2 linked regions of the Canis lupus familiaris genome follow. Each later gene encodes a partner of the first gene's protein in a complex. Links are inferred from orthologs where the notes say so. Each region holds a gene or a part of one and is shown in the gene's direction. Other genes may lie near its edges. The genes, in order: ACTR3 and ARPC5.

Evidence for each region.
Region 2: ACTR3 (region 1) and ARPC5 share a complex: the UniProt entries of both Homo sapiens proteins name them as parts of the arp2/3 complex. The link is inferred for Canis lupus familiaris from reciprocal best matches to the Homo sapiens genes ACTR3 and ARPC5.

The regions. Positions count from the first base shown.
Region 1 is NC_049240.1:36,610,471-36,625,373, reverse strand, and holds the start of ACTR3 (actin-related protein 3), read left to right. Parts: upstream 1-5,904; 5' UTR 5,905-6,229; coding exon 6,230-6,273; intron 6,274-14,903. UniProt on the Homo sapiens protein: ATP-binding component of the Arp2/3 complex, a multiprotein complex that mediates actin polymerization upon stimulation by nucleation-promoting factor (NPF).
Region 2 is NC_049228.1:16,858,058-16,873,011, reverse strand, and holds the start of ARPC5 (actin-related protein 2/3 complex subunit 5), read left to right. Parts: upstream 1-6,369; 5' UTR 6,370-6,546; coding exon 6,547-6,689; intron 6,690-9,058; coding exon 9,059-9,131; intron 9,132-11,377; coding exon 11,378-11,554; intron 11,555-14,619; coding exon 14,620-14,682; 3' UTR 14,683-14,954. UniProt on the Homo sapiens protein: Component of the Arp2/3 complex, a multiprotein complex that mediates actin polymerization upon stimulation by nucleation-promoting factor (NPF).

The DNA.
Region 1 (14,903 bases):
TATTGATGGCTAACTTCATAGGAGGTGTGGCAATTCACATTCTCAGGAATAGTGTATAATGGATGTACGTTTTTCTATACATTTATCAGCACTGGATATTCTTTTCTCATTTTTAAAGAAGATTTTATTTATTTATTTATTTGAGGGAGAGAGAATGCACATGCCTGAGTGCATGTATGATGAGGGGCAGAGGGAGAAGCGGACTTCCACTAAGCAAGGAGCCTGCCTTGATTCCCAGACTCTGAGATCATGACCTGAGCTGAAGGCAGCTACTTAACTGACTGAACCACCCAGGAGCCCCTTTCTTCTCATTTTAGATGTTGTGAATGATGGGTTAAAAATGGTATCATTGTTTAATTTGTATTTCCCTTACTATCAGCAATGAAGAGCCTCTTTTTCTGTGCCATGTGTCCATTTTAATTGTCCTACTCCTCTGTAGGGACCTTGTGTTAATAGCCTTTCCCAATGTTTCTGTTGGATTATTTGCACTTTTTAAAAAAATTTTTTATTTGCACTTTTTAAAATTGTCTTTAACTCTTAGAATATTAACCTTTGTTATATGTAATGTAAATATTTTCTTCTAATCTATAATTTCTAGACAAACCTTTAGCCAATGAAAATCCAATTGTTTATGTAACCAAATATTTCAATTAATGGTTATGGATCTCTACTTAAGGAGTTCTCCCCCACTTTAAGATTATACAAATATTTTCCTGAATTTTATTCTAATATATTCTGTCTTTTTTTTGTTATTCAACTCATTAATTCCATTTATATTTGTTGTGCACTTATTATGAGCTGAGTCCTTTTCAAATTCTAGTGGGCATGTTTTTCCCATTGGAGAGATAGATAATAAGCAAATAAACCAATATATAAACAAGGCATTTCACTAGGAAATTAAAACATGGTAACATGGGGGAATGGGCCAGGCTCCCTTGGAATAGGTGGTCAGGAAAGGCTGTCCTGAGCAAGTGAGATTTAAATTGATTCTGAAATAACTAATGATTAGAGGGGAAGTCCAGGGAGAAGATGCAGGTAGAAATGGCCTTGGTGTGTATGAAGAAGTCCAAGAAGGCTGAAGTGGCTAACTCATGAGGGACAGGAGAAATTGGAAAGAGAGGCAGGCACCAGAATACAATGGGCTTAGCAAACCCCAGTGAGGAATATGGATTTTACTCTATATTAAAGATTTGTAGTCCATTTGGAACTTGGTTTGTGTGTAATACGGTATGTGTGTGTAGGGGGTGGCCAAGGGATTCTAACCCACATCTTCTTTCAAATTAATTTATATTTTAAATAAATTGTTCACTTTTTGCAGTAGTGAGGGAGACAGGATAGTGAAAAATCCCACAGAATCTCACCTCATTTCAAACACTGTACAGATATTATTACCATATGAAATATATTTTCATTTGAAATTAAACATATAATAACTATAACATTTATTTTTATCCTAGGGATGTGGCCAATGAGTAAAATCTTTCCAGAACTTCTTTTTAGAAGTTCATGGGCAGCAGCAGGTGATAAATCACTTATGAAAACCAGTATTATTATTTTATAGTCACACAAAGCTGTTCACTAAAAACCATAGCTCTAGTTGTTCAGCCATCTTATTCTTTGGACTTGGTGCTGAAAAAAATGACTTTTGACCAATTCCAAAAATCAATCTACTCACAAAAGGCCAAGATTTGCTACCAATGGAGATATTTAAAAGAACGTGCCATGGGTTCTGAAGGCAAGTCTATAGGAGATCTTCTAAAAATATTCTGCACAGTGGTAGCATTAAGCCCCAAGACTTCTGTGATAAGGAGGACACAGTTTTGGATATTTAAATCTGTATGTTTATTTAATAAGTAAAAGAGTCATTGCTTTATAATTAAACCACAGTCATCTTGATCTGTCCATAAGATCATTCTATAATTTATAATATGTTTTCTTAAAATTCAAGCTTTACAACAACCCCATAGGTTAGTTATTTCTGCAAATTTAGATTAAAATAGATTAAGGAATTCACACTCAAGTCTCTTTTTTAAAAAAAGATTTTATTTATATATTTGAGAGAGAGAGAGAGTGCGTACACGCTCAAGTGCATAAGCAAGAGGGGCAGAGTGAGAGGGAGAGAGAATCTCAAGCAGTGTTGAGCGCTGAGCCTGATGTGGGGCTTAAACTCATGACCCTGAGATCATGACCTGAGCCAAAACCAAGAGTCAGATGTTTAACCAACTGAACTACCCAGGTGTTCCCCGCCCCCCCTCAAGTCTCTTGATTCTACGTTCAGGTCTCACTCTACACACTAAGTTAGTTGACTAAGTTAACTAACTTAGTTAACTTGCTGCCTGGAGTAGGGCCTCTGACCACTGGGCTGCATGGATATCTTGACTATTTATCTATTATTTGTCCTTAATACTCTCTGTGGATTTGATTTGATTGGTCCGCTAATTTGCAAATAGTTATTGCAGCAAGTACTTATGTTGATTTAAAAATAATAATAACATTTGCCATTTTAAAATATTGGAGATTGAGTGATATGTGAATTTTTTGGACATTTAAGGTCTAGAGACATTTGCTACATTGGCCTTAAAGCACAAATATTCTAGGAAACCTCATAGTAGCTGGTAGCTAGTATATCAGTCAAAATTAAACAACGCTGTGGTGTTACAACTAATGAGCCCAGAAAAGAGCTGGGCTTTGGTCTGGGTCCTGTTTCCTATTTTCTCTAAGATACTAGGAAAGTCACTTACATTCTCTGGGCTTGTTTATTACTTAGTATTCTTAAATTTGATGTAAGTAATGAAAGCTAATTACCACCAATTTAACCAAAAAGGGGCTTTCATGGAAGGATATTACAAGACTCACAAATGCTTGAAATGTTGGGGACCAGGCTTAGAAAGTGACTCGCACCGGTTGATCTGAACTAAAAGGAAATCAGGGTGCTATTAGGTGAGAATGGGTATGGGGAAAACTCCACCCACGCACCACTGCTTTCCTTTTTCATGTCTAACAAGATCATTTCTGTGAGCTCTTTGAGCTCTGACCTCCTCTGCTTCTCTGTATTTGGAGGAGGAAGGGTGCCTATGCAAAGTGGTCAGACATGCTCTGGCTGGACTTGCATCTGAGGGCTGGGTGCCGCTGAGGAAGGCTGAACCGCAGCAGCGCTAGAGTTTGACCAATTTTGGCACTAGCAAGTAGGAAGTAGGAGGGGTGTTAAGCAAGCAAAGTGTTTGGGTGGACAAATTATGAGGCACCAGTGCAAATAATGCTTCCAACGAGAGTTAGAAGCTTCCAAAGATTTCTAAGGGTCACCTCCTTTATAAAAGGCTGACTTGACTACTTGAAAGAGACCACTGTAGAAGGTCTCCTCATGTGGATGAGATACAGTATCTAGCGCTGACATGAGCTGCATATTTGAATGCAACATACATATAAATGTTAACCAGCTTCCCAAATCAAAAGTTGAAAACTGGTTTCCCACAGGTCAGAAAGAGCCTGCAGAGAATTAGTTACCAACAGATAAAAATCCAGATTTTCCATTTTTTCTGGAACAAAGGGACGCTCTGGCAATACTGAGTCTACATCTCTGCATAGTAAGTTTTCTACTGCCTTTGGTGTGGATGTGGAGTCTCCCTATTGTCACACCTCGTCATGGTCCTCTTCAGTCATAATGGCACCTGCTTGGATCGTGTGAATGCTCCAGTTTTCGAGCCTTGATGTAACTGTTTCTGTGACAACCCACACAAGGCCTGTGTGTGAGCACCCATCTTGAGGATCCACCAGTGTGGGTTTCCCTGAGCGACCTCTGTTCTTGGGACCCCTTTGGTAAGAACCTTTCACTCCTGACTTACTACCGTTAATGCTGAAAAAAACTGTTTACCCCAACTGACCCACATGTCTCTGTTCTGTCACAGCAGATCTTCAGGCATCTATTCTCCCAAATGACCTTAAATATCTGATGTTGGAAAAGGCAGCAAAGAATCCCCATTTAGGATCTTCTAAAATGGGGGGAAGAAAAGACAACTATGCATCTGAACAGAGAACCATTTCTGCTGGACTCCTTGGAAGACAATTGCTGAGAAAAGCTTCCCTGGAGGATTATTTATCTATTTTCTAGGAGTAGCTGTGGATTGCTGGGCACTAGTTGGTCATGATGATTCCCCTACGTTGGTCTTCTGCACATGTCTGATCCCATCTGGGTGTTACTGCTCACATAATTCTATCCCTGAATTATAGCACACAATGTATTATCAGACCTTTCACTTCACTCTTTACTTTGTGGGGTCCATTCCCTACAAAGCAGCCACGTTTCCTTGCTTAAATCTCTTTGATGCCTTCCAGGCTGCTTTTAGGCTAAACTTTAAGATTGGTGGAGAAGTCTGCAAATCCTTGTGGTGTGATTCTTCCTTAACTCCCGGCCTCCACCTCCCATTGCATTTTCCTTAGCTCACTTCACTTGGACCGTTTAGGTCTTTGAATTTGTGAAAGAGGCCAAGCTCTTTGCCACCTCAGGCCCTTGACCCTTGCTGTTCCCCCTTCTGGACGGCTCCCCTTCCTCCTCACCCTTTCCCCTATCTTCTACTTCACCTTTAAAATGTCACTTTGTCGAGAAGCCTTCCCTATATTCTACTTCCCTCACATTCTCCCACCCTCATCTCTGTATCTTGTAGCCTGTTGCTCTCTTCTAATGCTTTTAACACAATTTATATGTTCCCATTAAACTGTGAACTCTTGAGAGCAGGGACCTTCTGTATTTTGTGCCCAAAGACTATTCAGAGGCAGCAGGATCCCTGCCATAATGGAGGATGTGAGCGATACTTAACATGTCAAACGGATGAAAAACCCACTTTCCATCCCACTGCCCAGTCTAACAACTTACCATTGTGCATAAGACATCCTTTCTTAGGGAAAATATTTTTATTTCAGCCATATAAGCAAATGGAAGATTTATCAGAAGACAAGCCTGGTGGAAAGCTGTTAAACTTCTAGGTTCCCCAGGTGGGGTCCCAGACCATCACCTGAGAACGTCTTGGAAATGCAAGTTACCAGGCCCTTCTCCTACACAAAAACTCTGCGGATGCGGCCCAGCAATCAAGGTTTTTTTTTGTGTGTTTTGTTTTTAGCAATCAAGGTTTTAACGAGCATTCTCGGTAATTCTGATGCACACTTAAATTTGAAAACCATTGTTCTAGGCTGTCCAGTATGTGACCTTTTTCCCCCTTATTATTATCATTATTTTCGCTCCTTGATCATCGGCATAATCCTGCCGGCAAAACAGCAGAATCTTAAACTGCTGAGGGCATCTTTGTCATCATTCGAAAGCGGCGAATAACCGACTATCCGCGCAGAGTGCGTGATGTGGAAGGTGCTCCCGGGGGGGGTGTGTTCCTCGCGGGGACAGGCCTGCCCCCGGGCGTCTGCGACCCAGACAATGTCCCCACGCACAGGTGCAAAAGCCTAGAAACCGGCAGGAAGGCGGAGCAGCCGGCTGCAAGCCTTTGTTCGCCCCAACCCTCCCGACCGCTCGCCCTCCGTCTGCCCGCGCGCTCCTCCACCCAGAAAAGCAGCGTCTCCAAGCGACGAGAATGTGTCGTGCCGCTCAGGACGTTTTCTACTGGGCCAGTCTTCCCCGGGGCCCCGGAGAAGACGCGGGGGGCTGCGGGGGGCTGCGGGGGCAGGCGCCGGGCGGCGAGCGCAGGAGGCACGGACGCCGCGGCGCTCCCGCAGCTCCAGGAGCCCCGGGCGCTCGCCCCGCCCCGCCCCGCCCCTCCCGTCCGGGAAAGCCCGGAGCGGACTCCGCTCACGTCGGGACGGGCGCCGCGGCCGGCGGGGCCACGTCACTGCGCATGCTCCCTCGCCCCTCCCGCTCGGAGCCGGAAGGGGGAGCGCGGGCGGCCTGGGCCTGGCCTGGCCGGGGCGGCGGCGCCGGCGGCCATCTTGGCTTCCCGGGGCCAGGCGGCGCGGGGGGAAGAAGTTGTAGGGTGGGGGCCGGAGGGAGGAGGAGGGGAGAGAGAGGGGGAGGAGGCCGCGGCGGGGCAGGGCGGGGACTGCCTGCCCGCCCGGGTTGCGGAAGTGGTAGCCGCTGGCCGAGCCTGCTGCTTGCTCGCTGCTGCCTCGGCTTCCCGGCTCCCCCCGGACGGAGAGGCCGGCCCGGCTGTGGATGGTCAGATAGCTCCGGCCCCAATCCGCACGGAGCAGACGGCGGCGGCGGCGGCGGCGGCGGCAGGCGAGGAGGAAGATGGCGGGACGGCTGCCGGCCTGTGTGGTGGACTGTGGCACGGGGTAAGGAGGGTGGGGAAACTGAGGCGGAGCTGGGAAGATGGCGGCGAGGGTGCGGGCGCGGGGATGCGCCGCGGCGGGGTGCGGCCGCCGGGCGTCGGGCTGCCGGGGGTGGGGCGCGGGGCCGGGGCCGCGGTGCGGCCGGGCGTCACCCGCGGGGGCGGGGGCGGGGGCGGGGGTCCCGGCGGGGTCCCCCCGGAGGTGCCCCCGGAGCCGCGGGCGGGTGGGCGCTGCGGGGCCCGGCGCTCAGCCTCCGGCCCCTCGGCTCCTCCTGCTGCCGGCGCGCCGGGGCCGAGCGGACGGGCGGGGGACGCCGGGCGGGTGCTCCGGGTCGCGGGGACCCCGCGCGGCTCGGGCCGAGGGCGGGGAAGGGGGCGCCCGGGCGCCGAACCTGCGAGCCGGGGCCGCGGCTTCCACCGGGCGGGCCGCGCGCCCCTCGTCCGACCCCCGGGCTTCCCCGCCTCCTGCGCTCGCACCGGTGAGCCACGGGCACATTTTAATTTGAGAGAGAAGGATGTCATGTGTTAACTCGTCTTGCCTCGGACAGAAAAAAAAAAAAAAAAAAAAAAGGAAAAAAAAAAAAAGTCCCCTAGTGAGCAAGCGCGCCGCAACTTCCTTAGTTTTCTCAAAGCCGCTTCCTGCTTTCAGCCCTTTATACCCTTATAAGGTAGTTTTTCATTTCCAACCTGAACACCTCGTATTAGAACTTTTAGGATTGAGCATATTTGAAATGGATTGAATTACGGGCCCTCGACATCAGTTTGTAGGGACTTGAACACAGACGTGCGAGTGTTTTCCGGGAAGGGGGGGAGAAGGGAAGCCCCAGGAAAGTCCTTGAGGCCGCGCGCTCGCCGGGGGGGGGTGGGGGGGGTGGGGGGGCCTCGGAGGCTGTGGGGCCGCGGGGTGCGCTTGCTTTTCGGGGGGTTCCAGTGCGCAGGGTCGCGTGTAGACGTGTAGAACGGCGTTGAAGTGTATGAATAGGCGTTTTGGGATTTTGGCACACTGTTGTTTTCATAGGAAATAGTCTGTACTTTAACGTGGAACGACTTGTTTCCCTTGCAGCGCTGGGAGGGTGTGTGTGTCCGTCCTGTGCTGATACATTGTTTCATTCCTAATTCGCAAAATAATACACCGAGGGGGAGTCGGTTATGAGAGGTAGAGTGTCAGCCCTTGCTCCCTGCCTTCTATCATCCAGCAGACCTTCGTTGCATCAAGGATTGTGTATGCCCCTCTTTCCATTTACTCCCCGTAAAACGGCTCTATTTTTTTTTTTAAAGCTCTAATCTTCATACTCACGACTTTGTTAGTGTAACAGTTTCAAAAATCCCAGCCATGCATGTGGAAACAGCCGATTTATTAACATTCTCCTATTCTCCTTTGGAAAATACCAGCCTACTTTTAGCCGTGGAACTTCTAAATGTATTGTTTTGATGGACAGCTTATTAAAGTTATTGTTTTTTTATTTTTATTTTTTGTATATATATATTTTTTTTATTGTTTTTTTTAATCCTAATTTTCTTGACTCAGGTCCCCCCCCCCCCCCCCCCCCCCCCCCCCCGATCCAGTTGAGGAGTAGTTTCATGCTTAGGGTCAGTTTTAAAATTAGATTTGTCCTGAGTGAGAAGGAATTTTCAAGTGTGGGGTGTTTTGTTTTGTTTTTTTAGATTTTATTTATTTATTCATAAGAGATACACAGAGAGGCAGAGACACAGGCAGAGGGAGAAGCATGCTCCATGCAGGGAGCCCGACGTGGGACTCTATCTGGGACCCCAGGATCACGCCCTGCGCTGAAGGCAGGCGCTCAACCACTGAGCCACCCAGGTGTCCCTCAAGTGTGTTTTGTTAAAGTGAGAAATACTGTTATATAATTAATATTTTATGCTTTAGAAATTATTGGGTTAATAAAATTAGTGTGGATAATTGTAGTGCTAATGGTAACTAGAATGTTACTTTTCCCCCATTTTTCCCCTTTTGAAATAAATTCTGGTTATTTTTGAGTTAGTATTCGGGTATTAATCATTGAGGTTGACTGTCCTTAGCTGACCTCCTCCTGCTAGGGCAACCCTGAATTTAAGACAGGCTGAGTGTCCGGGAGGTCCCCAAGGGCTTCAGTCTACATTTAGGATTATTTTTGTTTTAGTATTTCAATTATTACGTTACTATATTTTACCTTATTGCATTAGTTTTACTTCACAAGGTGAGGTGGTTTAATGGGCACTCATGGTTTAAATGGAACTGATTAGGAGTCCCCATTGTCTCCCACCTTTTTTACCATCTGTCAGAGCTCCATTTATTTTGGTCTTCTAAAGGTTTCATGGTCCTTTGTGGTGGCTATCTAATGCAACTCCTGGAAAGTTATACCTGCAGCTTTATTAGCACATAGAGGATGGCTCATTGAGCTTGGGCCTGCGATAAGCATATTTAAGTAAGGCCTTCATGGGAGTTTTATGTTTCAGAGTACTGTGGTCCCCAGATGCAAATTGTTCACCTATAATTTGTGTGTTCCTTTGTGCTTTAGAGAATGCATTCATCTATTTGGTCTGTAATTACAATTACCCACTTAATATAAATGAAGAGTTATAACCTGAATCTGGATGATCATTCCATTTCATTATATAAGTTAGGAAAAAGATGACAGGAAAAAGTGGCCGGCTATGAAACTTGGTGTTCTCCCACAAGAAAAGCTGTAAGCCTTAGGAAACATGAAGCTTAATCCCCAGGCTTAAAGTTAGAAATCCTGCAGCAAAGATCCTTTATCTCAACATAAGATAATCACCTAAGCTCAGATCGTATAAGAAAATAACTCCTTTTGATAAGAATTTAGAAATAACTGTTTTTTTTTTTCGCATTGATATCATATCTACACACTTTTTGTCTGCATTGGAACAGTACTGTAGAAAAAAATTTGGGTAGAGATTCTCATTGTAGAGCTAGCTGGTTGCTTAAGAACTAAATTACAGACCTCCAATCTGCTACCTTGGTGAGGGAAACTTTTTTTTTTTTTTTTTAAAGCATTCTTATAACATTGTAACACTTGGAAAGTTTTAGAAGATCCTAAATTATTTTTCGCATATTTTCACTCATTTCTTCAACGTTCAAATGAAGGAACTAACTCCTTACACACTTTTTTTTTTTTTTTTTTTAATGCCTCAGCTTGATTACAGAACTTTACATTGTGACATTTCCTTTTCCCCTTTATGTCTTTTCTACCTGATCCGTTCTGCTTTGGTAAATTATTTCCATTATGATAGCAGAAGTTAATATGACCTTATTGTAGAGCTGTGTGTTGGTGTCTAGATATACTCAGATTTAGAGTGAATTTCCGTAACTGACTCAAGTTTCTTAGCGTAATTTTAAAATGTAAGCATAAGTATTTTGTTGGAGTCAGTGGATGAGGAGTTTATATAATTCATACTGTGGCCACATTCTAGCAATTAGTGCAGATAATTTGGGAACCAATCTTCCCTGAGAACCAATGAGGAAGAACTGAGTGTGTGTGGGGGGGAAATAAGTGGGAAGTTCATATTTCCTATATGAATTCTGTACATGATATTTGATAATAACACTATTTCTCCAAGCCATCTTCAAGAGCAGAAACATTCACAGTATCTTGTTATTACCAAAAAACACTGAAATTCTTATTCCTTCATGGGTCATGTTTTACATGCTGTGTGAAGTAAGTATAACAGTCTTCTGTTGAGAAGTCAGTTTCTTACTTAAATACAATCTTCCTCCTCTCCTCTCCCACTGGTCTCTTTCCCTGCATGCACATCTTGTGTTGAAATACTGACTTTGGGTTGTGTGTGTGTGTGTGTGTGTGTGTGTGTATATAGTATCTAATGAACTTTCAGCCTAATTGTAAAACACAGTTCAGAAATTTATTTTTAAGCACAGAATGGAAAGCTCCACTAGTGGAGGGCCTGCTGACCAGGATTTTATGTATGTTACTTAGTTTTGTGACAGTCATTTTTACCTTATTTTACAAGTGAGGAAACAGGATTAGAGAAACACTTTTTTTAATGGTGATAAGAGTTGCTATTTGGACTTAAGCTTTTCTGTGTCGAAGCCCTGTGTTCTTTATAATACACTGTGGAAACTCCTGAGCCCCTTATCAGAACTATGCATGTTGCTTTTTATTAGCAAAGTTAATTCTCTTCTTAAAATATTATAAATCCTAGTCTTAAGCATTTGATTTAATGAATTAGAGAAATGATTCCTGTGCATATCTTTTTTACGTGATATGTATCTATATATATCAAGTATATATGTATGTGTCCGTGTGTGTGCGTGCGTGTGTGTGTGTGTGTATTTAGTGGATATGTGAATTCCTAGCTTATTTCCTTGTCAATTTGCTTAAATTGAACTTCTAGAAAAAATTTACTCTCTATGTTTTGTTTATCAGGAAATGCTAAAAGCTAATATTTATTAAGAATTACGTTCAGGCCCAGTGCTATATGCTTTATATTATCTCATTTACTTTTCACATCAGCCTGAGAATTACCTCTTTTATGAACAGAAAAGTTTAGGGTTTAGAGAAATTAAACTACTTGCCCAAGATATTGTAGCAAATAAATGTGTTAGAGACCCTCCTCTATAAAATAATCTCCTTACACAGAGGATGAGCCTTTGACAGTTTTGAATCATTTAGATTTTTTTTTTTGAGAGATAGTTCATTTATGTTGTAAAGGGAGAATGCAGTATTAGTGAATATTACTTAACGATTACTTGCAAAGGTAGAAAAGTAGGTATTACTTGCTGATTACTTGCCAAGTCAGCTTAAAGCTAACTATATACTTAGCAGGTTAGACGCGCTCAGAATTATAATGAAAATATGTAATACAATATGCTCTCGAGAATCTTATCTCTTAATGAGATAAGAGCTAAAAATTATTTTTAAAAATTAGGATGGTAAGATTCTGCACTTAAATCTTAAGATACTTTTTTTTTTTTTTAAGATTTTATTTGTTTATTTGACTGAGAGGGAGAGAGCACACAAGCAGGGGGATCAGGAGAGGGAGAAGGAGTTTACCTGCTGAGGGAGCCTAAGGCAGATGCCTGACTGAGCCACTCAGGCACCCCAAAATATTTACTTTTGTGGTAGTAATAGTTGTTCTGTAGATAGTAAGATTAATGTGGTCAGGAAGAGTCAAGGAAGTTGTAGTGAAGGTAGGATATGTGCTCTCCTTTTAAGGATTTGGATATACAGGGGAAGGAAAGCATATACAGCAGAAAGGGGAGAGTAGCTGTTTCTTGTGTTTAGCCCTATTAGCATATGTTGCACCACTTCCTTCCCTTTGAATTGAGGACCACATAATAACATAATGCAAATCTTGATTATGTAATGTGAAGGGGAACTAACATTTATTGTGCACTTTCTGTATCAGGTATTCATTGTGTGTCGGCAGAGCTTTGATTCAAAATATTTTACTTGATAAGAAATAAAAATCCTTTGCAAGAGGAGTTAAATGTTGTCAGGGCTTTTAGAATATTTGCAGAATGGAATGCAGTTGGATCAGATGTAGAGAAGGTATTTGGGATGAAGTTATGGGGCTTGACACATGATATGAACTCACGTCTTTGTTGAATGAGCTGGCAAATGAAGATGGAACAAGAGTTAGGGGTATGGCTTAAAAAAACTGCCTGGGAAACACCCCATACCCAGTGACTCAGAATCTGAAGGATTGGGCCTAGGAATATTCATTTAAATGGTCTTCCTAGATGATTTTTAAACAGCCGTCTCAGCATCAGCTTTGCAGAAATTCTGAAGTAGGATATTGGCAGTAGGAATAGAGCAGAAGAGATATATTTGGGAAAGGTTGCCTCTTTTTTGTTTGTACTTCTGCAGTAGTATTGTTTTATTTGTGGTTATAGCTGTTTTTGTGTTCAGGCTTTTCTAGCTGTATGACTTTGTACACTTCAAACTCTGCAGGTCACATTTTTCCCATGTGTAATTTGGGATCATAGTATCTACCTTATGGGTGGGATTTTTTTTTTTTGTTTGTTTGTTTGGTTTTTGAGATAATGCATGAAAATGGTTAGTCACAGTGGTTGACACATAGTAAGAACTTGATACATCATAGTTATAATTACCATTATCAGTTAGCTCTCTTTTATTGAATTGAAATTTTTTAAGGAAAGGAACACGGTGTCTTATGCTTATTCAGTGCTTGGCTTAATGCAGTTCTTTGCACAGTCCAAATGTTTTTGCTTATTTGAGAGATGGAGGTATAGCTAGGGCTTGACAATTGATTGGGGTGGATTGTAGTCATCAGTGAAGATTTTAAGATTTTGAGTTTGGTTTTAAGAAGCTAAGTAAAATAATTATTTGAATTTGTTATTGAATTTGGATGATGATCATAATTGGAAATATTCTAGAGGAAGTTAAAGATACAGGAACTTCAGAAATGAAGGTGGAGATGTGGCAGTCATCATTACAGTTTACAAATTGAAACTAATAAAATAAAAAGAAAAAAAAGATTGAATATTAATGTTTCTTTTACAAGTCTTAAATATATAATCTAGCTTCTTGAGCATCATAATGAGAAGAATGAGTGGGCGCGCAGGCTTGAAATGATGAATGATCAGCTGTGCTGACAGCCAGGCTTCTGTTTCATCCCACTTTTTAAGAGGTAGAATCCTTAGGAGGAGACTTCAGCTCAACATAGGGCTAAATTTCCCTCCAGTGGTCTCCCTTATACATTGTGCTCCCCCACCTTCAACAAGTGAAACAGCTGAATGGGAGTAGGAGCAGGACTGTGGATTGGTTAAAATGTACCTTCTAGCAGTTTGTTTTCTGAAACAAAATTCCCCTGTAATAAAGGCATTTGGATATTTATCTGTAATTCTGTTGGCATTTGTAGGCTCTTTAATGACATGACTCATCTATAATAGCCGCTGGCATAAAGAAGAGGCAAGAGCAAAGCAGTTCAGTAATAATAACACTACATTAATATGCTTTTTAGTTTACCAGGCACTTATAAATTCATTTATTATTAAGTAACAGTACAAGATAAGGTGATGTTATTGGATTGATGTTTTAAATTTGGTTCTCCAAAATAGGATAGTGACTAATACTACTTTGTGTGATGGTGGTTTTATATCTTTATGTAGACCTTTATATCATACAATGTATAAAAGATATCTCAATAATTGATTAATACCAGAAAAAAAGACAAATTATGTCCTTTTTCCAAAGGACCATTTCATGGAATTTTACTAATTTTTCTTTCAAGATTTTTTTCAAAACCTTTCCAAACTATTGACTTTTAAACTCGAGTCACTCTTACATACTCCTTATAATCAGGAAAGGAACAACTTTGAATTTGTGTGGGCTGGCATATTTTCCTAACTCTTTTCTACCCCTAACGTACCTCACAAGAGTATTTTCTTCATCTGTGTTCTGATGCTGAACATTACATCTTTAAATATTCTCTCCTTTAAGCCTTGCCCATTGTGAAACTGCAATTGCCTTGAGAAGGATATCTTTAAGACTTTTTCAGTTACAGTACTTAGTGTGAATGAGGGGTTGCTACAAGGACAATGAAAGTCTCAAATAGGGAATTAGGGTGCAAAATGCCTTATAGTTTAGGGTTGGTTTTGAAACTGTATAAAATCATAAACTATGTTTTTAGTATTGGTCTATGATAAAACTCAATTGTTTGCTTACTTAAAGTCATAGAGCTTAGTATATTTAAGTATGGTGTGTTTTTCTTTAAGCATTTTTAAGTTTAGTTACTTCAAGACCACCAAAATAGTGCATATATGTGTGTGTGTGTGTATATATATATATATGCTATTCATAAGTGTGTGTGTGTATATATATGTGTGTATATTTATATATCTCTCTATATATATGAAACTTAAGTGAATTAAGGGAAATGCCTAATAACTCACATAGACTTATGGAGATGAAAAACACTTTGAGAAATAACTTCACTCATGCTTCATAAATGAGACTGGTCCAGAGTTGAGAAATGTTTTTCAAGGTTCCTAGTTATCAATTGATAGCATTGTTGAATTCTCTTACATTTTCTTAAGAGTTCACATTTATGACTTACAGTAGTTGAAGTTTCTTCTTACCAGTTGAAATAACAGCATATTTTTTGTAGTTTGAGGCCTGGTGCAATACATGTTTCAGAAATCTTTAGTGTGTTTTTTTTTTTTTTTTTTTTTTTTTAGAGTTTTTGTTGTAATAAAAGTGTATGCTAGATGGCACAGATGCAAAACTAATTTTGTTTCCCATCGTAACATTTTAACACAGGTTCAGAAACTATTTCCATAAAATGAATACTTTTTATTTTATTTTCTATATGAGAGACAGGGAGAGAAGTGGAGACACAGGCAGAGGGAGAAACAGGCTCCCTGTAGGGAGCCTGATGCTGAACTTGATCTCATGATCCCTAAATCATGTCCTGAGCCAAAGGCAGATGTTCAACCACTGAGCCACTCAGATGCCCCAAAATGAATGCTTTTTTTTTTTTTTAAAGGAAATATGCTTTTTTATTGTTTCAGGCACTTAAATCTTAGAAAAATACTTTTTTTAAAAAATTTCAGTTAAAGACATTATGTGGAATGTGTACAAATCAGCCTTTCAAAGCCCTTTAAGGAGGTATGTTTTTGAGATGATTAATTAT
Region 2 (14,954 bases), on another chromosome or scaffold:
TCAATAGATGAATGGATAAAGAGAATGTGGAAACATTCCACATTTTAGTGTACATAAAATGGAACACTATTCATCATTAAAAAGGAGCAATACCCTGACACTTGCTACAGTTGTGGAAAGGAAATCAAACTAAGTGAAATAAACATCACAAAAAAAAAAAAAAATCAAGTACTGTATGAATTCACTAATATGAGGTACATAGAATTGTCAAATTTATAGAGCAGAAAGTAAAAAATTTATAGATGATAGAAAGCCCCTGCTCATCAGGGGCTGGGGAGAGTGGGGAATGGGGAGTTACTGTTTAAGGGGTATGGAGTCTCAGTTCTGCAAGATAAAAAAAGGTCTGGATATGGATAGTAGTGATGATTGTACAATACTACTTAAGGGTACTCTTAAAAATGGTTGACAGTAAATTGCATGCTATGTGTATTTTGCCACAATTTAAAAAAAATTAAGTGGGATTATCCATCAACACCTACTGATCTCTTCATATACTTCATATACATATATCTCTTCATATACATATACATATACTTAAAAAAAAGTGACATCCTTTGTGATAGACCAAATATTAGGTAACAGGCCCTATGTCTAGTCTCAAAATACTAAGATAAAATGAGGAAAGCTCACAAGTATCTGGAAAACAAACATCTTTTAAAAAATCATTACAGCGGCACCTGGGTGGCTCAGTGGTTGAGCGTCTGACTTTGGCTCAGGTCATGATCACAGGGTCCTGGGATCGAGTTCCACATTGGACTCCCCACGGGGAGCCTGCTTCTCCCTCTGCCTCTGTGTCTCTGCCTCTGTGTCTCTCATGAATAAATAAACAAAATCTTTACCAAAAACCATCATTACAATAACAAGATCTTTTAAGTTCACAGTTTAGAGTTCATTTTAAGCTATTGAAAAGCTATGTGTGGGTTTATTTGGACCCTGATAGTTATATCGTTATTTTTAGCACCAAGGTGAGCAGTACAGTTGGGAATAATGAGAAAGAGGTACTGAAAGCAGAGAGTGGTGATTAAAAGCAAAAGCTTTGGAATGTGACACACCTAATTACCATACCAGTCTGCCACTTGCTGGTGGAGTATTATTGGCTGAGTTACATAATCTCTCTTAGTCTTAGTTTCCTCATCCATAAAATGGACACATTAATTCCTAAGCCCTAAAGCTACTCTGAGGATTAAATAATGTAAATAAAGAGATTGCTTACCAGGTCTAACATAAAACCATTCATGGGGCAGTTGCAATTATTAATAAAATATTGATAGAATTAGAATAGACAGTAGAAAAAATAGGAATTGCAGGATCTTTCCAATTTTACCAAAACTATAAATTTTATCTTCTAGAAGAAGGAAAGATGTATTACTAGCATTTGTAATAATCAGGTTAGGGGGAGAAAAAAGTTTGGTTTTAATATTTTGCTTAAAGCAACAAGGGAAGTAATAAGTCCATGGTCATGAAAGATATTAAAATAATTGTAAGAAAATATTTTGTGCAATTTTTTGCCAATACATTGGCAATCTAGATGGAATGCACAATTATTAAATGTAAATTATAAAATTGAGTCAAAAAGGAAAGAAAACTAGTCAAAAACCACAGAAGATAAAGATGATCAAAGATCTAACTCTAAAAACATGAACAAGTCCAGATAATTCTGCAAGCACATTTTGTAACATGCAAAGAAAAAATAGCTTAGTAATTCCCTACTATTCAAACTTTTCCAGAGCATAGAAAAGAAGGTGGAAATATTCTCAATTCATCTTACAAAGCTATACTAATATCAAAATTGAATAGAGATGGCACAAATATATACTATGCGCCAATCTCACTTATACATATTGATTCTGAAATCATGTAAACAAAACAGAAACTAATTGAATCTATCAAGTAATTAAAATAGTAACCAGAATCTATTTTAGAAATATGAGAATAGTTCAGTGCTATATATATATATATAATTCATACATTTACAAATTAAAAGATAAAAAATAACACATTTTTTATCATTAGACCCCTCAAAAAAACATTTGACAATTTCAGCAGTCATTCCTAAATATCCTAAAACAATAGGAAATATAAACTGGTAAAATACCAACACTATTTCCATTAAAATAGAAACAAGAGATGCTTATTATCACCCAGTTTTTCAACACTGATTTGAAAGTCCAATTAATGCAATAAGATAAAAAAATAAAAGTGATATAAATTTTAGAAAAGAAAATGTAAGTTATCATTATCTTAAACATTATGATTGTATACTATGACAAAAAATATAACCTTAAACCAACTGTTAGCATAATAAGAGATCCCAGTAATGGGAAAGAAAGAGAATAAACAAATGTTTGAATCCATAGCTTCTCTTAACACTATCATAAGCAGGTAAAAAAAAATAAATAAGAGTCTCATTCAAAACAATATTTAAAAACAAGGTTTAGGGATCCCTGGGTGGCGCAGCGGTTTGGCGCCTGCCTTTGGCCCAGGGCGCGATCCTGGAGACCCGGGATCGAATCCCACGTCGGGCTCCCGGTGCATGGAGCCTGCTTCTCCCTCTGCCTGTGTCTCTGCCTCTCTCTCTCTCTCTCTCTCTGTGACTATCATAAATAAAATTAAAAAAAAAATTAAAAAAAAATAATAATAAATAAAAACAAGGTTTATTGTTTCATTTAGCACTAAACACTTTTCCTGAGACAAGAGTACAGATTTAAAAATTTTTAATCTTAGAAGGACTAGTATGTAAATAAAGGTCCCATTGTAAAATAGTTCACCCTTTCTACCCTACCTTAGTGTGTACTCATAAAGTTATATAAAGCTAAAATAAATCACAAAGCAAAAACTGAAGGTGTGGAAGGTTGTTGGTGTCAACACAGAACCAGTTAATCAGTTCATTTGGATATTATCTATAAGCATTAGACCATACTATAGTCTAGGTAACATGATAAAAAAAACTTTTTATATTGTAGTAATTATGTTGCTAGAAGACAGTGGTATTACATCATCATGACTAGAACTGAAATTTACTTATTAATTTTATATTTATAACTCATGTTTGATACATTTGATTAACACTGGGCTCACTTCCATTTCATTGCTGTGGGACTCAATGTCTTCGTTGAGTATTTAGTGGCAAGGCTGGGGAAAAGAAGCACATGGTAGGTAGAGTACTCAGCTTAAAATATCTGAAAGGAAAGATCTATTATAAAACGGTTTTATCAAAATCCCTTCTAATTAAAAAGATCTTTTACTCTTTGCATTATCACAGATAATAAAAAGGAGCTACACTCTATCATGCAGCACTAACCTTGAGAAAATTGAGATCTAGTCATTAGTATTCAGCCAAACCAAGTTATTTGCACAATAAATAAAATGTCTTAAAACGTTACGGATCCTTTATTTTAGGGATAAACACTCATTTGAAAAATTAAAATATGGAGAGTAATAGTATCTAAAATGAATTAAGTACTATGATTAACATTAAAAATTGTCATTTGCAAAATAAGTAAAAGATAATTAAAGACAGATTTCTTCACACACACACATACACACACACATTCCCTAAAGCTTTATAGATTTAACTGTTAGCTGATTGGGGTAGGGAGGAAATTAAAGTGTCCATTAAGAAATACCCAATCTCTAAATATGATTGCAAAATTGTCAGATTATTCATTGGGTAGAAATGTGTTTCATACCTACTATGTACTAGGTACTTAGCATCGTGAGATGATAAAAAATACCGCATTGGAAAAGGACCTTTTCGACATTATTACATCTTAAATGTATTATGCAACTGAGAATTGATTAATTATATTTAACATATTCAACATATACAGCAAAATTCTGAGTAATCAAATCAATTATACCCTTGAGCAACTCGATTTTTTAAATTCCTCTCACTATTCCCTTAAGTTGATTTCTACCCCAGGATTCTTTCCCAGTTCTAAAATAAGACAATAAAGACACCGTCTAAATAAAACCTAATACAAAAGAAGAGAAATGTAAGAGAAGGGATACATTAGTCTTAAATTCTTGTTTCTGTTTGTTCTCAGTAGCACTTCTCTAATGTTCAATTTTCCCTTCAAAGAAAATCTTGATTTATAAGAAGGGAAAAGTGCAATCGTCTTCAACATCAAAACAAGTACACTGTTTGGCTCTTACTAAAGTTAGCAAAAGATTGAGACTGAGGAAGAAATATTAAAACAAATCTTATATTCTAAGTTATATAATGCCACTTACCATAGTAATGGTCTGATACTTTGGTATATGACTTTTTAAAATAAATATTACCAACAGGTAGAAAATTTTCCTTTGCTCTGTTAAAACAGTATGGGGGAGAGTTTTTATCATGTGTTTGCAGATAACTTGAATGTTAATTTAAAGAAATGTCACTTCTATCACCTAAATGATAAATTTTCCAGAAGGGTGGTTTAATTGGGAGGAGAAAAATGCCATATTGCTTCTTCCTTCCAAGAAGAAAGGGTGCATTCCATTCCTGTGAACTCTTTCAGTCTCTCTCCATATATTTATACATGTATATATATCCACATACATACATATACAACTATGTATATATGTCAGTGTAGATACAGCTATACATATATACATATGTATGCATATCTGTCCCACAAATGTTTGATTTTGAGATCTCTCTTCCTTTTCTTACTGATTCATTATGTTCAGTGTGACTTTCAAACTGTACTGCCTTTCACATTTTATTCATTCATCAATGAATAATTGAGTACCAGAATGTATTGAGCACTGCCTGCATGCTTAGCATTACATCAGATGTAAAGCAAGATACAAAATAAATAAAAGGCAAGTCTTTGCCCTCCAGAATCTTTTGATCTCTTCCAGGAGCAAGATAAAACATGATATGTCATTAAGTAATTCGTAAGACTAACGCCAAAATCAATGGTACAAGTAACATGCATTTTGCATCTATGTAGAATTTTAGAGCTTCAGAACACTTTCCCGTACTTAGTCCTCAGAACAATCTCGCGAAGTACGTTATTATTAGCTCCACTTTAGCAACGAGGAACCTGAAATTGAGGATTTTAAGTGGCATGCCTCAATCAAATAGATTATGAGTGGAAGTCAATACTTCAGCCAGGGTTTTTGATTCTAAGTCCAGGGCTCGTTTCAATACAGCACAGGAAACCAAGGATTGGGGTATCAACAGGGCAACAGCTGGCTTTCTGCTAGAGGTGGAATTGAACGAGACCTGAGAGGATGTCAGGAAAACATAAAGCTATCTGAGCAGCGTCCAGCTAAATGTCCAAAATAATTTTATTCTGCAAATATTTGTGCTTCGGTGTTACACACACAGCACAACTACCATTTCTTTAGTGTTAGTGCCTTTGCCTCCTCAGTAAGGGCTTTGCTCTCAGAAACGAGGATGTCCAATGTAATAAAAAGCTGGCCTAGCAGGATCATATAAATCTCAAATCACAAATATAAATCTTCATCTCAAACCTACTAATCCTCACACGTTTTGTTTCCCCACAGCACCGGAGGGCATAGCTCGCCCCTATCCTTTTCTTCCGTGCTTGCTCCAAACCACCACTTATTTTTAAGATGCCGGTGACTGACCCTACCCCAAATTCCACAGGTCCGCCCCAGGTCTGCCACGCGAGCCCTTGCCCAGAACCTCCGTCTCCCTCCCCAAGGAGATGATACCTAGTTCAGGCTCTGCAGGTGCCGTCGGGATGCTGTCACACAGCACAGCCAGATAAGAGACGACCTTTCGACTCCGTCCTTGGGGACTTCCCGCTGGCCGCGCGGCGTAGCTCCAGCCCCGGGAAAGGGGCTCCCGGCTCAGGAACGCAGCCACGGGCAGCGCACGGTCCCAAGTGATGCCTCTGACAACTAGACCGACGCTGGGCGCCCGGGCGCGCATCACTCCGCCCCATACTCCTGCCAACTGCAGGGGACTCGGTCCGGCCACCAGTCCATCCCACCCCACAGGCAAGTCCGGGCCAGCCGGACCTCACGCAGGACCCCGGCGACAGGTCGCTGGCGGCGGCGGCGGCGGCGGCGGCGGCAGCAGGAGCCACCCGCCCCCAGAGCCCATAGCCGCCAGCCTAAGACCCCCGCCGCCCCCCTTCCGCGGGACCGCAGAGAAGCGTTGCTATGGAAACCCCCTGGGGATCACGTGACGCCCGCGGACGGCCAATCGCCTCTCACCTCTGCCCGCGGCGCCGCTTTCGGCCCGCCCCCGGCCCCGCCCCCGCCCGCCCCCGCCTCCCTCGCCCCGCCCCGCCCCCTTCCTGCCGCGAGCCCGCGCCTGCGCACTGCGCCCGGCGCGCCGTCCCTCGCGCGCGCGCCCGGGAGGAGCGGGGGCGGCGTGGGCGGCGGGCGGAGAGCATGTCGCCGAGGAGGAAGGAGCGCCGCCAGCGCGCAGGCCCAGAAGCGTCCGAGCCGCGGCTGCCGGCGACGCCCCAGAGCGGAAGAGGGAAGTGAAGGCGCCCGGGCTGCGGGTTCCTGGTGGGCTGCGCTTCCCGAGGGCGAGGCAGCACCGAGAGGAGGCTTAGGCCGCCGGTCCGGCTCGCGATGTCGAAGAACACGGTGTCGTCGGCCCGGTTCCGGAAGGTGGACGTGGATGAGTACGACGAGAACAAGTTCGTGGACGAGGAGGACGGGGGCGACGGGCAGGCCGGGCCCGACGAAGGCGAGGTGGACTCCTGCCTGCGGCAATATCCTTGGCGTTTGCCGGCCTCCCCGCGCTCCCGCCCCGCCCCGCCCCGGGACCCCGCGACCCCGCCCGGGGACCCCGCCCGCCGGGCCGCTCCCGGGGCAGGGGCGGCGGCTCTGGCCCTGCGGGGTCCGCCGGACGGGCGGCCGGGGGCGCTCCCGCGTCTAGCCGAGTCACCCCGGGTCACCCCGGGTCACCCCGGAGCCCGCCCCCGCCCCGACTCCTCAGGTGGCGGCCCGAGTCGCTGCCCCGGGAAGCGGCGGGGCGGCCGCGCCCTCGGGGCTCGGAGGGGAGGCCTCGGCTGCTGTCCGCCGGCCCCGGGGGGAGGGGCAGGGGCCCGGGCCCGAGGTCACGGAGGTCCCCCCGCCCCTCCGGAGGTGTGCGATTGCGGGGAGCGGGCTGCCTGCGTCGTGGTGCTGGCGGTTCGCTCTTCGGCCGCGTTAGGAGAGTTCATTCCTCGCGGGGAGGCATGGGGCGGTGTGCACGGTCGAGGCCCCCTGGCCTTTTTAGCCCCTGGGCCCTTTTAATAATTATAGTTATTTACAGAGAAAGGAATTTGTTGCAGATACGAATGTGTTAGCCCCGGGGAAACGGAGTGAGTACGAAACGGCCAGCTCCCGACAAGGAAGCTTGGAGGCTTCTACCTGCGAAGCAAGGGGACAATGCACAGGGATGGCAGGTGGAGAATCCCTGGAAATATTTAAGATAAGCCCCAGTGAATAAAGTAGATGATGAGCAAAATAGACGATGAGTCATTTTGCGCAAAGCAGCATCATTTTTTATTTTTTTTATTTTTTATTTTTTGCAATCCTGAAATCCATTTCCATTTCAGTTAAAATGCGGCTGTCAGTTCCTGGGGTTTTTGGTGTTGTTTTTTTTTTTTTTTTTTTTTTGCATATTTGAATATTCATCAGTGTTGAGCGAGTATTTGGCACCACATCTCTTTTAGAAAAATGTAAATGTTGCAACAGCTAAAGCTGTAGTTCTAGAGATTCTCAATTACTGAATTCACTCACTTCTAATTATTCTTGAATGTATTCATAAGATAGGGAAGACTTTTTAAACCTCTCCTCATCAATGTTCTATTAAAGTATAATGGGGAAATAGGAGTGAAAATATTGGTTGTGACTATATCTAGTCTTAAAGGCACCTAAAATACAGCATTAAACATTTACCAACATACAGATGTTTCTTTGATTTCCACAACTCTCACAGTCAGCTGTTGCTCTGTTGCATTATTTAAATACGTAAGTGCTTTAAGGTCTTAAAAATGAGCCAGTCTGCCAAAGGAAGCTTTTCTAGAAGTTTGTTAAGCCTTGGAAATAACAGCTTACCACCAGCCATAGGGGGTTTTTGTTTTGGGGTGTTTTGGTTTTGTTTTGTTCTTTTTTTTCCAAACATAAGCAATGAACATTATTCTGTCTGAAAACATTCTTTGTAATGGATAAATGACGTTTTGTGAACTAACTTTAGGTTGATGGGTGCTGACTCTCAACTGGTACGGCTGGATCCATAAAATGGATCTGCTTTCTAATCTCTTTATCTTAAAAGATATTGTCTCTTCTCTTGTTGCAACCAGAAGAGACCAGCTCTAGTCAGGCACTACAGATGGAGGAACAAATGAACTCTGTGGTTTTCCTTTTAGGGGAATGACTGTATATTCTGACAGTCTGATTGGCCTTCCGTGTCTCATACTTGCTAACTCACTGGTGCTTTCAAAGACTAAATTTAATAGGTATGACCTAAAACAGTGTCAATGACCTTTTTGGAAGTATAAGAGAAAATATGCAAAACAGAAAAATTAAGCTACAGCCTAAAGGACATTGAATTATTAGATCTTTTGTTAATATTGAGAGGTTACTAATGTGTATCATGTAGAGTGCTGGAATAATTACCAGCATTTTCTACAAGTATTTCAATTAAGATAGAATATAATTCTAGCAAAAGTTTGGTCCATATTTTTCCAGTTAAGAATCACATAAAAAGACATTTTGGTTGAGGGTATGCTGTTTCATTTGGGGACCTAATAATTCTAATACGTAGATATGTAATTTAAAATATACGTATCACTCTGAATAATGTTTCATATGTGTCTTACTGGAAAATAAAAGGCTCTCGAAGTGTTCATTTAGTAATTAGAGCCAGGCCGGAACTGGTCTTTGCCTTATTACCTCCTCTTATGTTCTCTGTGTTTTACATGTGATTGACATCCTTGAAACCAACATACTGAGTTTTCCAATATTGAACATAGCGATCGTGGTAATTTTTCTTTCTACGTATAAAGTCAAGTCTTAAGAACCAATGATACCTGGTAGTTCCGATGTTTTTCTGAAGGCTCCCCTTTGCTGCTATCCCCTTAACCTCCATCACAGGAAACATGACAGCCGCCCTACAGGCAGCTCTGAAAAATCCCCCTATCAACACCAAGAGTCAGGCCGTGAAGGTGAGTCAGACGCTGGTGTCTTAGCATTCTTTCCAAAATCCTCTGAAGTATCATGGAATCAACAAATAGTTTAACTGTTTATTGTCTTTGACATACAGGAGCTTACTCTGTGTAGTTTGTTAGGTAAAAATTTACATATGAAAATAATCTCACTCTAATACTGAGTTATGAGAGACCATTTCAGTGTGTTTAATGGAGGCACTCGAGGAATTGGAGCATAGGCCTGAAGAATAAACAATACTTTTACAAAATAAATAGATTCTATTTGGTTGCTTTTTAAAAATTTTTCTAAATTATCCAAGTATTAAATGTTTATAGAAAACTCAGAGAGAGGCAAAAAGGGGTAATCGTCATCATCCCACTGCCCAGAGATCATCGGTCTTTACTTTCTGGTGTTATATGCTTACAGAGCTTGTCTCTTAGTAGTTGTTTTTTAAATAAAAAGGGAGTTTTGTAATTGGCTTTTTTAATGATATACATGGACATCTTTCCTTGGCAGTAAGTTTATTTCTATAAGCACCTTTTTTAATGGCTGCATATAGATATGCTGCAGTTTACATATAACTAATCTTTTGTCATGTATTTAGATTATTGACCTTTTGTTGTTGTAAACAGTACGGAAATGAACAATTTTGAGTAAACTGTTAATTATTTCCTTTGAATAAATTCCTAGAAGCGAATTGCCGGGTTTTAGAATGCCATTTTTTAAGGCTTTTGTTACAAGTGGCATTGCCAAATTGCCCTTCAGAAAAACATGACTTAACGTTCCCTGCAACAGTCTTTCCGGAAATACTTGAGAACTTACTTACTAATTGTATAAAATGAAGCCCAGAGCTCTGACCCCATTGTCTGTAGGAGCCCTAAGGATCTCTTTAATTTGAGTACTAGTAATAACTTAGGTAAATGCATAATAATTATCTAGGCAACAATGAGAGGAAACATTTCTTTGGTTTTTGAAAGTGGTGAGGGACGTCATTGAGATTTCAATTTTACCACCTTCTGCTTTTATATGGGTGAGTTTTTATCACAGTTTGTGGGTGGGAAGTTATAGCTGTGGTTGTAAGAATATTTTTCTAAATTGGGTAATTGCTTAGTCTTTAAACTGAAGACAGCAATAGGTGGTAGAAACATTCTGTAAACTCCTGATCAGTAGGAATGCCAAAGATAATCACTCTTTCTTGAATAGGAGAAGTGAAATTGTTGAAAGGGTAAATTAAGTGTTCTTAATTAAGTGCTTGGCTTCTTGAGTGGAAAAATAACTTTGCTCTTGGAGCAGCCTTTTATCAGAAAAAAAAATTATAAATGAATATCACTATATCTACCTACTGTAGACAGGAAACTTAAATTTTCTTAAAAAGTTATTTTTATTAACTATTATTGAAGGATGGTTCAAGGTAGAACTGCAATTCATTGTCTTTGTCTTTGGGGTTTTCTCTGAGGTCAAGAAGTAAAATTTAAATGCCGACTTAATAAAGTTGGAAAATTACCATATCTCTTTGTAAGCAGATGCTTTCAGCTCTCCTTCAAACATGTCAAGAATCTGTCGTTCTCCTGAGCTACCATGCTAGCCCAAACCAGCCTATGTTATTGCAGTAACTTCCAGACTGGTCTCCCAGCCTTGTCCCCTGCCCCTCACCAACTTCCCATCAGCTCATCCTCAACATGGCAGCCAGAGTCAGATTATATCACTGTTATCTCATACACAGGTCAGATTCTATCACTGTTCTCAATATCTTCCAACATCTTCTCCTTTCTCTTAATGAAAGCCACAGTCTTCACAGCGGCCTGCGAGGGCTTACGTGGTCTGTCTTCGGCTACCTCCTGACCTGTCCTACTCCTCCACCATGTCGCTGGCTACCAGGGATCTTTCTGCTTTCCTTGAACACCCTGAACATACAGTGACAGCACATGTTCTTTCCTTCTTTCCTCTGAATACTTTTCTCAAATACCCCTAAGGATTCTTCTTTCATGTCCATCAGGTCTTTTTTTTTTTTTTTTTAAGGATTTTATTTATTGATTCATGAGAGACACAGAGAAAGGGAGAGGCAGATACACAGGCAGAGGGAGAAGCAGGCTCCACACAGGAGCCTGATGTGGGACTCGAACCCGGATCCCCAGGATCACACCCTGGGCTGATGGCTGAGCCACCTGGGCTGCACCATGTCCATCAGGTCTTAAGTGTCACCTTTTCCAGAACAACCACTCTACGTGCTTACGTGTGAATGCTCTGTTCTCTGTGTCCCCAGGATCGAGCGGGCAGTATTGTCTTGAAGGTGCTCATCTCTTTTAAAGCTAATGATATCGAGAAGGCAGTTCAGTCCCTGGACAAAAATGGTGTGGATCTCCTCATGAAATATATTTATAAAGGCTTCGAGAGCCCCTCTGACAACAGCAGTGCTGTGTTACTGCAATGGCATGAAAAGGTAAGTTACGACCTAGAGTCCCTCCAACTGGCCACTTATTGATAGAAAGTAACCATGACTGCTCTTCTCACCTAAATCATTATTTTGACTACATCATTTTCTTTACAAATAAATGCATGAAAACGAAAGCTTAGATTTATGTTTCCTAACCCTAGTCTTAAGAGATTTTGGTTTGCAACACATATTTATTCAGTAACGATTACTGTTCATTCAACATGATCTTGAACTTGGAACTAAATCCGAACTTTGAAAATAAGATAAACAATAAAAGTAAAAAATTCGTTGACCATGGCCAGAAGGTTAGAAACACACATGTGCCCAAGGACGGATGAATAGATAATCCTTTTTTTTTTTAAGATTTATTTATTTATTCGTGAGAGACACAGAGAGACACAGGCAGAGGGAGAAGCAGGCTCCATGCAGGGAGCCGGACATGGGACTCGATCCCAGGACTCCGGGATCACGCCCTGGGCAGAAGGCAGGCACTTAACTGCTGAGCCACCCAGGGATCCCCCAGATACTCCATTTTATGCATACACTACATTTTGTTTTTTTGAACAACAGAAAGAAGGAAATTACATACATGGCACAGCACGAATGAACCTTGAAAACGTTGTGCAAGGTGAAGTAAGCCTGTTGCAGAAAGACAAATTACGGTGTGATTCCACTTACAGGAAATACCTCGAAGAGGCAAATTCAGAGAGAGAGAGAGAGAAGATGAGAGGTTATCAGGGACTGGGGGAAGGGAGGATAGAGAGTTCTTACTTAATGGGGACAGTGTTTCTTTTTAGGGTGATGAAAATTATTGGAAACAGTGGTGACTATAATCCTGAGAATATAATGAGTGCCACTGAATTTTACCCTGAAAGATGGTTAAAGGAGCAAATTTCATGCTCTGTATGTTACAGGATTTAAAGAAAAGAAATCAGAGGTGGGGTAAGATCAAGAGTTCTTCAATGTTTTTCTGTTTTCATGCATTTGATTCTGCAGTGTGAGCAGATGGTGGTACACTGTCCCTCAAAAAATAGCTAAGGGAAATTTTTAGCGTTAGGTAAAAAGTTGGTAAGGTCATTTTTAATACCCAACTCTTGGGTAATATGGGTACAGATGTGAACAGTGTAACATTTAAATAGAACCAACCACAGGGAAGGGGTATATTCTAATATCTCTCAGTTCCCAACTCTCAGTCTTTAGAAGCTGTTGTCCGTGTATCTGAGTGAAAACACAAATGGAAGATGAGAATAGGCTGTAGAACTTGTCTTAATCAAGTCACTTGATCACTCATGCACTGTCAAAGAGAGCCTAACTTTTAGGGACAGGGTAACCAGACCTCCCTATTTTCCCAAGATGGCTCCAGTTTATGCCTGTTGTCCCAACATGATTATGAATAGTTCACTTTCACTCAGTGTACCAGTTGGAGAATAATGTATATGGTCATCCTATTCAGGAATACTTTGCGTTTGCCAGACACTGTACCATTAGATGATGTTTCATTTAAGCCTTAGAACAACTTTAGGAGGCATATAAGCATCTTTATCACCCTCAATTTAGAGATGAAGAGCCAGCTTAACAACCTAAGCATCCTGGTTCCTGTACAGTCCCAGGATCATAGCAGACACTGATGGAGCACTTACTGTATTCCAAGCATTCTCCTAATCACTTCATAAATAACTCCTTTAATCTTCATAAAAATAGTAGGAGGGAAAGCTTGCTATCATTCCTTTTTTGGTGGATGGGGAAACTGAGGCACACATCAAGTCTTCATTGCTTCCTAACATCATCACCAATTTTTGCCTGTCTGTCTGCTAAATACTTCTCCAGCCACACGCTTAGATACCCCTCTGATGCAGCTCTTTGCAGCATCTCCCCCAGATTTTTGCTGTAACTTCCTACACAGGCCTCCAGCCACCAGCTCTGCTTCTCTCGAATCTGTTCTCCACCCGGTCGCCAAATGCCCTCTCTGAAATCCAGATCTACCCTTTCAGTCACCTGCAGAGTAAAGCTCAAGTTCCAAAGTCTAGCCACTCCTCTTTTATGCCGTTCATCCCCCTTGCTCCAGCAGTGAGCAGCATAATAGTATGTTTTCCCAGGACACACCTTACTGTTTCACACCTCTGTACCTTTGCTCAGGATTTCCTCCCTGCCTGAGTACCTCCTTACCCCAGGGCACACCTCTGTCATTTCGTACATTATGTTATATTAACATAATCTCTCTTTTATGTTCTGTCCCTTCCTAGTAGACCAGAAGGTGCTATATCCCTAGCATCTAGCACAGTACTCGGTACACAAAAGTATTCAGTAAGTAAGCTAGAGCTTTCAGCTCCTGACACTTGATCATGACTTCCAGTCTTTCAAGGTAGTGTCAAAATTAAAGTTCCTAAGTTCTTAGCTATTAAATGATACACTTTTAGCTTGGAGGAATAAAAAGAATCTAACAAGCTGGCTGATCTAAATGGGACTTAGGGTAGTTGATACCAGTTTGAACTTTTTCCCTGACAGTGTTAAAAGAGCAAAGTGGGTATGCCTGGGTGGCTCAGCGGTTTAGTGCCTGCCTTCGGCCCAGGGCATGATCCTGGAGTCCCAGGATTGAGTCCCACATTAGGCTTCCTGCGTGGAGCCTGCTTCTCCCTCTGCCTATGTCTCTGCCTCTCTCTCTCCCTCCCTCTCTCTCTCTCTCTCTCTCTCTCACGAATAAATAAATAAAATCTTTTAAAAAATAAAAGAGCAAAGTGAATGTCCTAAATTTACATTTGAGCACATGTTTTCAGCAAGAACATGCTGTAAATCTTGAAGAACATCCTATTATGTGGGGGAAAAAAATTATAGAATGTAAACTAGTATCTCACGAGCATGTAGGTACACGAGGGCAGGGACTGTGAAGGTTTTATCAATCACTGGCTCTGCAGTGCTGGGTGCGTAATTGGTGTTCAAGAACGTTTATGAAAATTAATGAAGCCGAAGTTGATAGCCGCACACATTCCTTCTGTAAGAAAAAAAGTCTTACTTGGGTATGATAATTAGCCCTTTATAATTCCATCAGCGTTTACATTTTGGTTTGTTTTTAGGCACTTGCTGCAGGAGGAGTAGGCTCCATTGTCCGAGTCTTGACTGCGAGGAAGACTGTGTAGTCCAGCAGGAACTGGATATCCTGTGGGTGTGGGAGTCGCTGGTACAAAGACCAAAACAACCAAATGCCACCGCTGCCCTTTGGGTAGCATCTGTTTCTCTCAGCTTTGCCTTCTTGCTTCCTTTTTCATATCAGTAAAGAACAATTACATATCAGTTTTCCTTTTGTGAAAATTGGAATAACACAGAGGAAATATTTATGAACAGGAATGTTTCATGCTTTCAAAACGATTTCAGTGTATACTTGTCTGTATATAGTATAATTTGCCTTCCA